Linked DNA regions of Caenorhabditis elegans. The protein of the gene in region 2 purifies or fractionates together with the protein of the main gene of each other region. This does not show direct contact. Each region holds a gene or a part of one and is shown on either strand. Other genes may lie near its edges.

Region 1 (6,024 bases), 3.7 Mb from region 2:
TCTGTGAATCAAATCTTCTGCTCAATTTTCTTTTTATTTTAAGAACTTTTATCAACATCTTTCAGGTGGTCATCTCAATCCAGCTGTTTCCCTTCTACTTTGGTCTCTTGGTCATCTCAAACTTGCTTGGGTGCCACTGTACGCAATTGCTCAAACCGCTGGAGCTTTCGTGGCTTCTCTTGGAATGTACTCTTATTACTATGGTATCCTACTTATTCTCCCTGTTGAAATTATTTTGAAATTTTCAGAACAATTCAATGCATTTGATGGAGGTAATCGCACAATCCTCGGAGCTACTGGAACAGCTGGTTGCTTTGCCAGTTATCCATCTCCAAATCTTGGAGTATGGGGTCCATACATTGATCAGTGCGTCGGTACCGGAGTTCTCGCATACTTCCTCTGCGTTGTTATTGATGAGAGAAATCAAATTCCAAAAATTTGGCATCCAATGTTCTTCGGATTCTTGGTAATGATGATCGGAACTGGATTTGGAATGAACATTGGATATCCAATTAATCCAGCAAGAGATCTCGGACCACGACTCTTCAGTTATTTTATCTATGGTCCAGGTGTTTTCCAGTTAGTTCACAGTGTCAATTCACAAATATCTCATATAATGATTTCAGCTCTCCATACCCTAACTATTGGCTAGCTCCAGCCATTGCTCCATTTGTTGGTGCTCTTGTCGGTGGATGGTTCTATCATTTCTCCCTTGGAATGCACAATCCTGACATCGAAGAAGCCGACGATATTTTTGTTCAACAACCACCAAAATCTGTAGAGCAACAAAAATTGCTTCAAGCTTAAATCTAATAATTATGTACATTTTTATTGAATTTTCAAATGTTTAAAAAACATTACTACATATATAGTCTTGAATCAATAAATTAGAAAAAAACTTAGAAAACGATGTTGAGCAATACAGCGAACATAGAAATGAAGAAAGCAACAGTTGATGAGGATCCACTGTCAACCAAATCAGAAAGTTGAATGTTTGGATTGAAATTATCTTGACTGGTATAGTTGATAACAACATTCTTTGGAGCCCAAACGAAGTTGGAGATCATTTGAACTGATGGTCCTGCACGATCATATGGAACCATGTGTCCCGCTCCCTTTACAGTCAGAAGATCAATTGTGATCATAGCATTGTTCTTATTTTTGCCAGAGTAAGTTTGAACATATCCAGCAAGTTGTTGGTTGTTACTGTAATACCATGGGGTACGTGGCCCACTCTTAAAATATAATTGGAATATTATTTAACGGTAGAAGTGACTTACGGTAAGTCCATTATCTTTAGCAACTTGAAGAATGTGCTTGGCATCTCCCAAATAGTTACAAACAGTATCGACATCTCCATTGTAGATTAAGAAACGGAAGTCGGTTGTGAGATTTGTGATGATATTGTTGAAGAATCGATTGGTAGTGTTGTATTTCAGAGTATAATTATTATAGATAGACATTCTACAATCTTCCCATGTGTTTTTCTGATCCTTCCATGCTTGTGGAATGTTGAGAGCATTCTGCACATTGTCACTGTTCAAATACTTTGACACAGCATCTTCATTCCAGCAAAAATATCCAAATTGATTGTCATTTGAGAAACGGTTGACAAGAGTCTGAACAATGAAGCAAGCGTTTCAATTAACAAACTAAGATAAACTAACAGCAGTGTTCTTTGCCAAATTGGAAGTTCCTTGGAAGTTTCCGAGTTGTTGATATTGCAAGTTCTTCTGGACCGAAGATACTCCTTGCATAGCACTTCTCTTGTGTCTCTTTCCTCCAGCTGGTGGTGGGGCTTGAAAGACAGATTTGTCATAGCATTCTTGGTAGAAGTTGTACTGGTCAAATCTGAAAATTACGTTAAATATATAAAATACAAAATCTCATACCCTTCATTTCCTAAAGCGTTTTGCGAAATGAGTGGTTGAATGAGGTTTCCGCAGTATGAGCCATCTCCTACGTAGTCAATTTTATTTTGAGAAGTTGTGAATTGAGAGAAATCAAAACTGTCAACGTCGGCTCCCTTTGAACAGTTTGCTTTGATGTCGGCCCAATTCCTGAAAAAATAAGTTCAGTTTAAAACGAACAAAACAGTTTTAAAATGTTCTTACTGCTCAGAGACACGTCCATGGTAGGCACTCCAAAGGGTAAGGGCATTGAGAAGTCCAGCTACATTCATGAATCCGTTTCCAATTGCAGAACCCTAAATTAGACATGTTTTGAAGTAATTGTGTAATTATTTTACCTGGAAGTTTTTGTTTGGAAAGGGTTGATTGGGATTGTTGATTCCTTGTACAATCAAATCGGTCAACATTGGAATATAAATTCCTGCATACGATTCTCCAGAAAGATAGAATGTTCTGTTCGTATATTTAGGTTGAGCACTGAAATTTAACATTTTTCTGTTACGTATCTAGACTTAAAATTCAATTACACATTGAAGAAGTTTGTGAGAGCCTGATAATTCTGTGCAGCTGATTGATCATCATTAGCTTGGAAGTATCCTGGAGTAGTAGTGTCATATGAATAACCAACTCCAATTGGGGATTCTAAGTAGAGAACGTTGGCTTTCTGAAATTTTAAATATTAAATTTATAGTTTTTATTATCCTAATACATGTCCCTGTCCCTTTTTATGTTTCAATTTGGTTTCATTTTTAAACTACACAAAGTTGTGTTTTATGTGCCTAAATTTGTTATCTATACAATAAATGAGGTTTCAACGATAAATTGCAAAAAGCAATAAAACTTGAAATTTGCGTAAGCAAGACTATTTTCTATTCAAACTTTCTTTTCTCTATCAATTCAACGAGAACTAAATATCATAACGTGGTCTTCGAATGGTAATTAGCAAACCGCCTTTGATCGAAAAGAGTTGTAGTCTAAACTGAAAGTTATGATTATCATTTCGGTTTTCATAGGCAACCGAGTGTTACAGGAATCTGATTTGAAATTCTTTTAACTACATAATAAAACTCTGGTCTTTGGAATTGCAAACAGCTTATCCTTTTCCCCAAAAATAATAATTACCGCATTCCATGCATATGGGTTCTCATAAAGAGTTTGTCCATCAAAGTTAACATAAAATGGACCAAGTTCTTCGAAAAGTCCTCCAAGAGATGAGCATCCTGGCCCTCCATTGAACCATACCAATAATGGATCAGTATCTGGATTTGATCGAGATTCTGTCAACCTGGAAGCACAATTTCTTTTTAATTTGTATTTCCAATAATTTTATCAGTTTTCGCATGGACAGCGAAAAACGTTATCAGTAAATTTTTAATTGTATTTGCAGAGAATTACACAAGAATTATGACTGAATTAGATGACTACTTGATGCTTCGTGAGGTGGAAATTTTAAATTAAACAGAAGAAATAGTGACAACAAAATGAATTGATGATTATTCAATTGAGAAATGACATTTCAAGGGAACTTTTGAAATTTTGATGAGAAATACGTTTTGAAGTTCAATGAGTTCCGAAAATAGAATGATCTTCAATCATTGTGTAAACTGCGAAATTTCACAAAAAAAACGTGCATTCGAGTAAGGAGTATACTTTTCAAAGAAGATCTAAGAAACTATATGAAAGCAAAAAGCTGGAATTTTGAGAAATTTTGAGAACTAATGAATTCGAAAAAAATACATTCACTAATGGTTCACTTGAAAATAAGACTTCAGATTTCCAGATTTGCCGAGAATATAAAACTCACATATAATGCATTTTCCATGTTCCATTTGCATTTGCATCGACATATCCAGAATATGACTTGAAATTGGCTTTGAACAAAAGACCGGGCAGATTCTGGATCAAATCCTTTTCTCCTTGAGATAGGACCGTCACAACTAGAAAAGCTACACCAAGTAGAGTTCGACACATTCTGAATAAAATGGACTCTCAATGATCAGAATTAATGAAAATCGTAATAAAAAATCTATAAAAATGCGGTAGACTCTAAAGAAATGAAGGTTGCATAGAGTTGCTAATTGATAAGAAGAAATATGCTTATCACTATAATAATTCGCTTTTTGAAGCCATCCTTTTTATGGTGTCGTATTGAAAAAAATGTGTTGCGAGTGCCAGTATGGAAACAAAGTTCGAGTCGTAAAAAATACTACAATTCTGGCTGAATAGATGTGGGTTGGGTTTACCTGTCAAGAGCAAATAATGACAAGAAATAGAGAAAACTTTTTGGTTCTGATCATTCTCCACGAAAAAGCTTTCAAACTTAGAAACTTAGAATATGGAAGTACGCTTTTGAAGTGACAAATTTTTTCATCACGCTTCATTGTAGCTGTTTCAGTTTAGCCCTTTAAAACCTGTAAATCATGAAAGTCTCTGACAAATAAAATGACCGTATTTCCCCTATTAGACCCCTTTGCTCTTGTTTGACAGTCTCAGTCTCAGTATCTCAGTTGTCTTTAGTCATATTAAAGAAGTGTCAACGGACAAAACACGTACAAAATTTTTCTCTATATTTTGATTGTTGAAAATTTTTTGATAAACGTTAAGGCAACCGAGATATAAGCCGTCAAACCACAGGTGCAAGTAAAATTGAGAAAATATGCTATTTTAAAACAATAAAGCAGCCGATGACAATCAGGGTTCCGCCATTCACGGGGAAAAACGTGCGTTAGACCACGCCTTCTTTTCAAATGTAGATTTTTTGAAAGGCAAAAGTCCGATTTAGTTTTTCAGAGCGGAGGACGATTTTGGAGATGTGCAGATTTTTCAAAATTTTTTTAAAGGAACTTGATAGAGCACCAAAAATTACGATGTTTCATCCAAATCTCAAGTTTCTACGTTGGATATGAGGGATTTTATCGATGAAAATGGATTTTTTTTGGAAAATGGCCTGTAACCTATATTGAAGTTGAAGTTATTTGAAAAAAGTTTACAGATTATTTTTGAAAATATCTATAAAATGTTAAATCAATAAAAATATCTCACAAAAATCTTTCTTGTGGTAGATACACCGTTGTAACGGAAGAGGAACCAAAGTTTTTGGACGTTTTTTGGTAAAATAACTTTGAAGTCATGTATCTCTGAAACTAGGATACTTATCAATAAGCAGGTTTTTGTGACAGACAGATAAGATATTTTCCATTAATTTCTCAGTCAAACATTTTGTGCAAAAATTTCTGCTTTTCAAGATATACTTGTCACAAAATTGGTATTTATATAGCAATTGGAAACATTAATTGAGAGTTAGGTACTTTTCTCGCTTTAAGCTGAATTTCTCAAACAAAACAAAAAATATTAATATGAACTGAAGCTCTGTAAACTTTTCATACAATTTTGAAGCGTTTTTTCCGACTGGCAACTCTTGGAATATACTTTTCACCTGAAAAACTGTTGCCACTCTTAGATTCTAGAAATTTCAAACAGGAGTATTTTGACAACTAAGCATATTCAAAAGAAACTGCCTGCTGTGAAATTGATTGAAATTTCAATTCCTACAGTTTGCATCTAGTTTTGCACCAGTAAGGTTGGTATTTCCTAGAGATAGTAATCCATGAACAAAATTGCACAAATAATCTGAAACTAATTTTGATGAAACGGATGTATCTCATGAAATAAGCAAGTTATGAATGTCATATAAGTTAAAATAGGGTTTATAGATATTTTTTCACATTTCTCCACAAAATCTTTCCAAGAATTCAAACTTCAGTCGAGTTACAGACCATTTTCCAGAAAAATCCATTTTCATCGATAAAACCCTTCATATCCAACGCAGAAACTTGAAATGTGGACGAAACATCGCATTTTTTGGTGCTCTATCAAGTCCCATCAAAAAAATTTTGAAATTTCTACACATCTCCAAAATCGTCCTCCGCTCCAAAAAACGAAATCGGACTTTTGCCTTTCGGAAAATGGCAAAAAATCAAATTGGGATATTTGGGTCGAAAAATATGTTTTTAGAATGCTGAGAACACGTTATTTACGAATATCATGTTCATTTTTGATGATTTCTGTTTTGAAAAGATCTGAAATTAAAACGTGGACCTAATTTTCATTCTCG
Region 2 (3,169 bases):
GAAAACATAATCAGACTTGATATTTCCAACAAAACCGGCCCCACAAAAGTGATCGAAATCTGTATAAACTTCAACCGTTGCCGCCAGACACTCGATTGTCAACCCGACAAGGTTTTTGCCATCGTTGTCAACACAGGCCTAATGTTCTGCGAGTACGCTCAGTTCTTCCTCGATACATTCGTCCCTTGCCAGGTCAAGATTGACGCCAAAGCTTCCGAGTGCTCTAAAAACTGGGATCCCTACCCGAGTGAGATTTCGGATAAGGAGAAGATGGCAAAGATTCACAAAGAGGCATGTGATAACCTTTTCGGGAAAGACAATTGCCTAGAAAAGGAAATCACAGAGACATGCGGAGTAGAGATGTGGAAGGGGTTCCGGAAGGTGAGTTTGAAGTTTCAATTGTTAAGTGAAATAATACTTTCGATGTTTTAGAACACTCTAGCAATGAAGACATTTATGGGAACATGCAAGTTTGGAGAGGAAATAACCATACCGAAATAATTAATAGCACCATATTTAAAACGTAAACACTCCTGCCTATTGATTTTTTTTCAAATGAATAATTTTATATCAAGTTGCCATAGGTTATCAAGTGATAGACATTCTTTGATCTATCTGTTCCTGGTCTGGTATATCATGTCTATAAAACTAGTTGCCCGAAGATTTTCAACATTCACTTTTCACGTTTCGAACTAAACATGTGTCGACATTTGGCAGTATTTATTCCTATCCTGATGTTTCTGACGGCGACGTGTGAAGATTCAGATTGTACCAAAGGCCCAGAACCTACAAAATGCTTGGAGGTAAGTTATGTGGTCTTGAATGGAAGATGTTATTCGAAACTGTTATCACTGAGACTTTTGTATGTTAGATTGAAAGAGAAGCTTAGATATCGAACATTGAATTTAAACAATTTTTTCTCACAGGTTTTAAAACAAATTGCTATAAACTCGAAAGAATTCGATATTTCCAACAAGACAAGCGCCAAGACAGTGATTGAAAACTGTGAAAAGTTCAACCATTGCCATCACACTCTCGACTGCCTTACCGAAGAAAAATTTGTCTACGTTGTCAACGTAACTTTCATGTTTTGCGATTACGTTCAGTTTTTTTCCGGACCCTTTGTCCCCTGTCAGACTACGATTGAGGCTAAAGTTTCCGAGTGCAATAAGAACTGGAATCCCTTCCCAAAAGAGACTCCGGATCAGGAGAAAATGGCTGAGGTTCGGAAAACGGCATGTGACAACTTTTTCGGAAAAGATAATTGCATGCAGAAGGAGATCACGGAGATTTGCGGAGCAGAGATGTGGAACGGGTTCCGGAAGGTGAGCTTCATCTTCAGAATTTACAGATAAAAAAATAAATTTGTAGTTATATTATAATTTGCAGATTCTGCTCGCACTCAACACTGCATTGGGAGCATGCAAGTTTCAAGATCATTGAATATTAAATTTGTTATTATTATATCTTACGGAAATGATAAATAGCAACGTATGAATCAGTTGATATCAATTCGTCATAAGTCATCAACTGATAGACAGTCTTTGATCTATCCCTTTCTGACCATATCATGTGTATAAAACTTGTTGACCGAAGTGTTTGACACTTTTTGCTTTGTGAAAGAAAATATGTTTGTAACATTTCTGACTATTCTGATATTTGTGGCGGCGACATCTGAAGCCCTAAATTGTACAAACCCTGGAGGTCCAAAGGCCGTGAAATGCTTGGAGGTAAGATTTTAATTTGTTTTTTAATTTTCACCAAAAAGTAACCTAAATCTTATCAGTTTCCAGATATAGTTGGGCATTCTTAACTTGATTAAATTAAATTCGTAGAAAAGTATGGTAACTTTGACGTGTTCGAAATTATTCGTTGAATGTCGCTTGAGTTGAAAAAACTTCTGTGAAAAATCAGTCACGTTCGATGGGAAGTTTCAGGCTTAGGCTCAGTCTCAGGCTGAAGCTGGGCGGTGGAAAAATTTTTAAAAAATTTTGAAATACATTTCGCGACATTTGGTGACATTACTTGAATAATTCCATAAGATTAGCCTAAAAACAGAAGGAACTAGGTTGCAGCAGTCTTAAAAATACTCAACATTAGTCTTTTCATGTTTTCATCGAACTGGGTGACAACGCAAAAGGCTTCAATATCTCCAACAAAACCAGCACCACAAAAATGATCGAAAACTGTGGAAAGTTCAACCGTTGCCGCCGCACACTCGATTGCCTGATCGAACAAAAATTCGTCTACGCTGTCAACATAACCCTCATGTTCTGCGATACCGTTCAGTTCTTCTCAAAACAGTTTATCCCTTGCCAAATACTACTAGACGCTAGAGCATCAGAGTGCTCTAAAAACTGGAATCCCTACCCGAAAGAGATTCCGGATAAGGTGAAAATGGCAGAGATTCAGAAAGTGGCGTGTGAGAACTTTTTCGGGAAGCATGGGTGCATGCAGAAGGAGATCACGGAGACATGTGGAGCAGAGATGTGGACCGGGTTCAAGAAGGTTAGAGGGTTGAGGAGTGTTAAAATGTAAAATTATATGTTAGTAATTTCCAGAATAATCTAGCACTCAACACAATAATTGGAGCATGTAAGTTGGAAGAGCGATAGTTGATAAATAAATTTTTATGTGTTTTACGTATTCAAATAAATAAATTGGTGAACGTCATCGGGCATCAGAAGGTACTTTGAAAAAATGAAAGTATAGGAAAAAATGCACAGCGGGCCAAATAAGCTCCTAAACTCGCTAAACTAAGTATCTTCAAACTGGCGTATCTCAAAAACTACACGTCTACTAAACAATTGTTTTATTAACAAAATGTTTAGAAATATTTTTTCTTTCTTGCACACTAATTTTTCTTTTAATACACCAACTATTTGTAGAGTTACACAGCGTCAAAGCCATTTTCCCAAAAATCACAAAAAATTTTGAGAACTCTTTTGTTGTACCCTTTATAACTCAACTTCCATTAAATTTCAAAAAATAACTTTTGTTGAATAATAAGTTAAAAATATTTCTCCACATTTTACCAGTTGAAAATTTTTTGATATTCCTATGTTCCACCAAGTTATAGACCGTTTTCTGAAAAAATCCATTTTTGCTCATAAAACTCTTCATATCCAACGTATCGACTTGAAATTTTGAAAAATGTTCACTTTTTTGA

Evidence for each region.
Region 1: the proteins of W10G11.1 (region 2) and ctsa-3.1 fractionate together in Caenorhabditis elegans (co-fractionation; one large-scale study listed by BioGRID). This does not show direct contact.

What each region holds. Positions count from the first base shown.
Region 1 is NC_003280.10:7,230,711-7,236,734, reverse strand, and holds ctsa-3.1 (Serine carboxypeptidase ctsa-3.1), read right to left. Parts: upstream 3,883-6,024; 5' UTR 3,882-3,882; coding exon 3,715-3,881; intron 3,196-3,714; coding exon 3,033-3,195; intron 2,575-3,032; coding exon 2,438-2,574; intron 2,388-2,437; coding exon 2,249-2,387; intron 2,207-2,248; coding exon 2,115-2,206; intron 2,061-2,114; coding exon 1,893-2,060; intron 1,852-1,892; coding exon 1,668-1,851; intron 1,620-1,667; coding exon 1,281-1,619; intron 1,236-1,280; coding exon 900-1,235; 3' UTR 815-899; downstream 1-814. Other genes in the region: aqp-1 (Aquaporin), read left to right, coding at 66-203, 249-579, 627-807.
Region 2 is NC_003280.10:3,559,152-3,562,320, reverse strand, and holds W10G11.1 (T20D4.11-like domain-containing protein), read left to right. Parts: upstream 1-1,628; coding exon 1,629-1,730; intron 1,731-2,100; coding exon 2,101-2,508; intron 2,509-2,561; coding exon 2,562-2,615; 3' UTR 2,616-2,669; downstream 2,670-3,169. Other genes in the region: W10G11.3 (T20D4.11-like domain-containing protein), read left to right, coding at 1-381, 433-501; W10G11.2 (T20D4.11-like domain-containing protein), read left to right, coding at 699-803, 927-1,325, 1,390-1,443.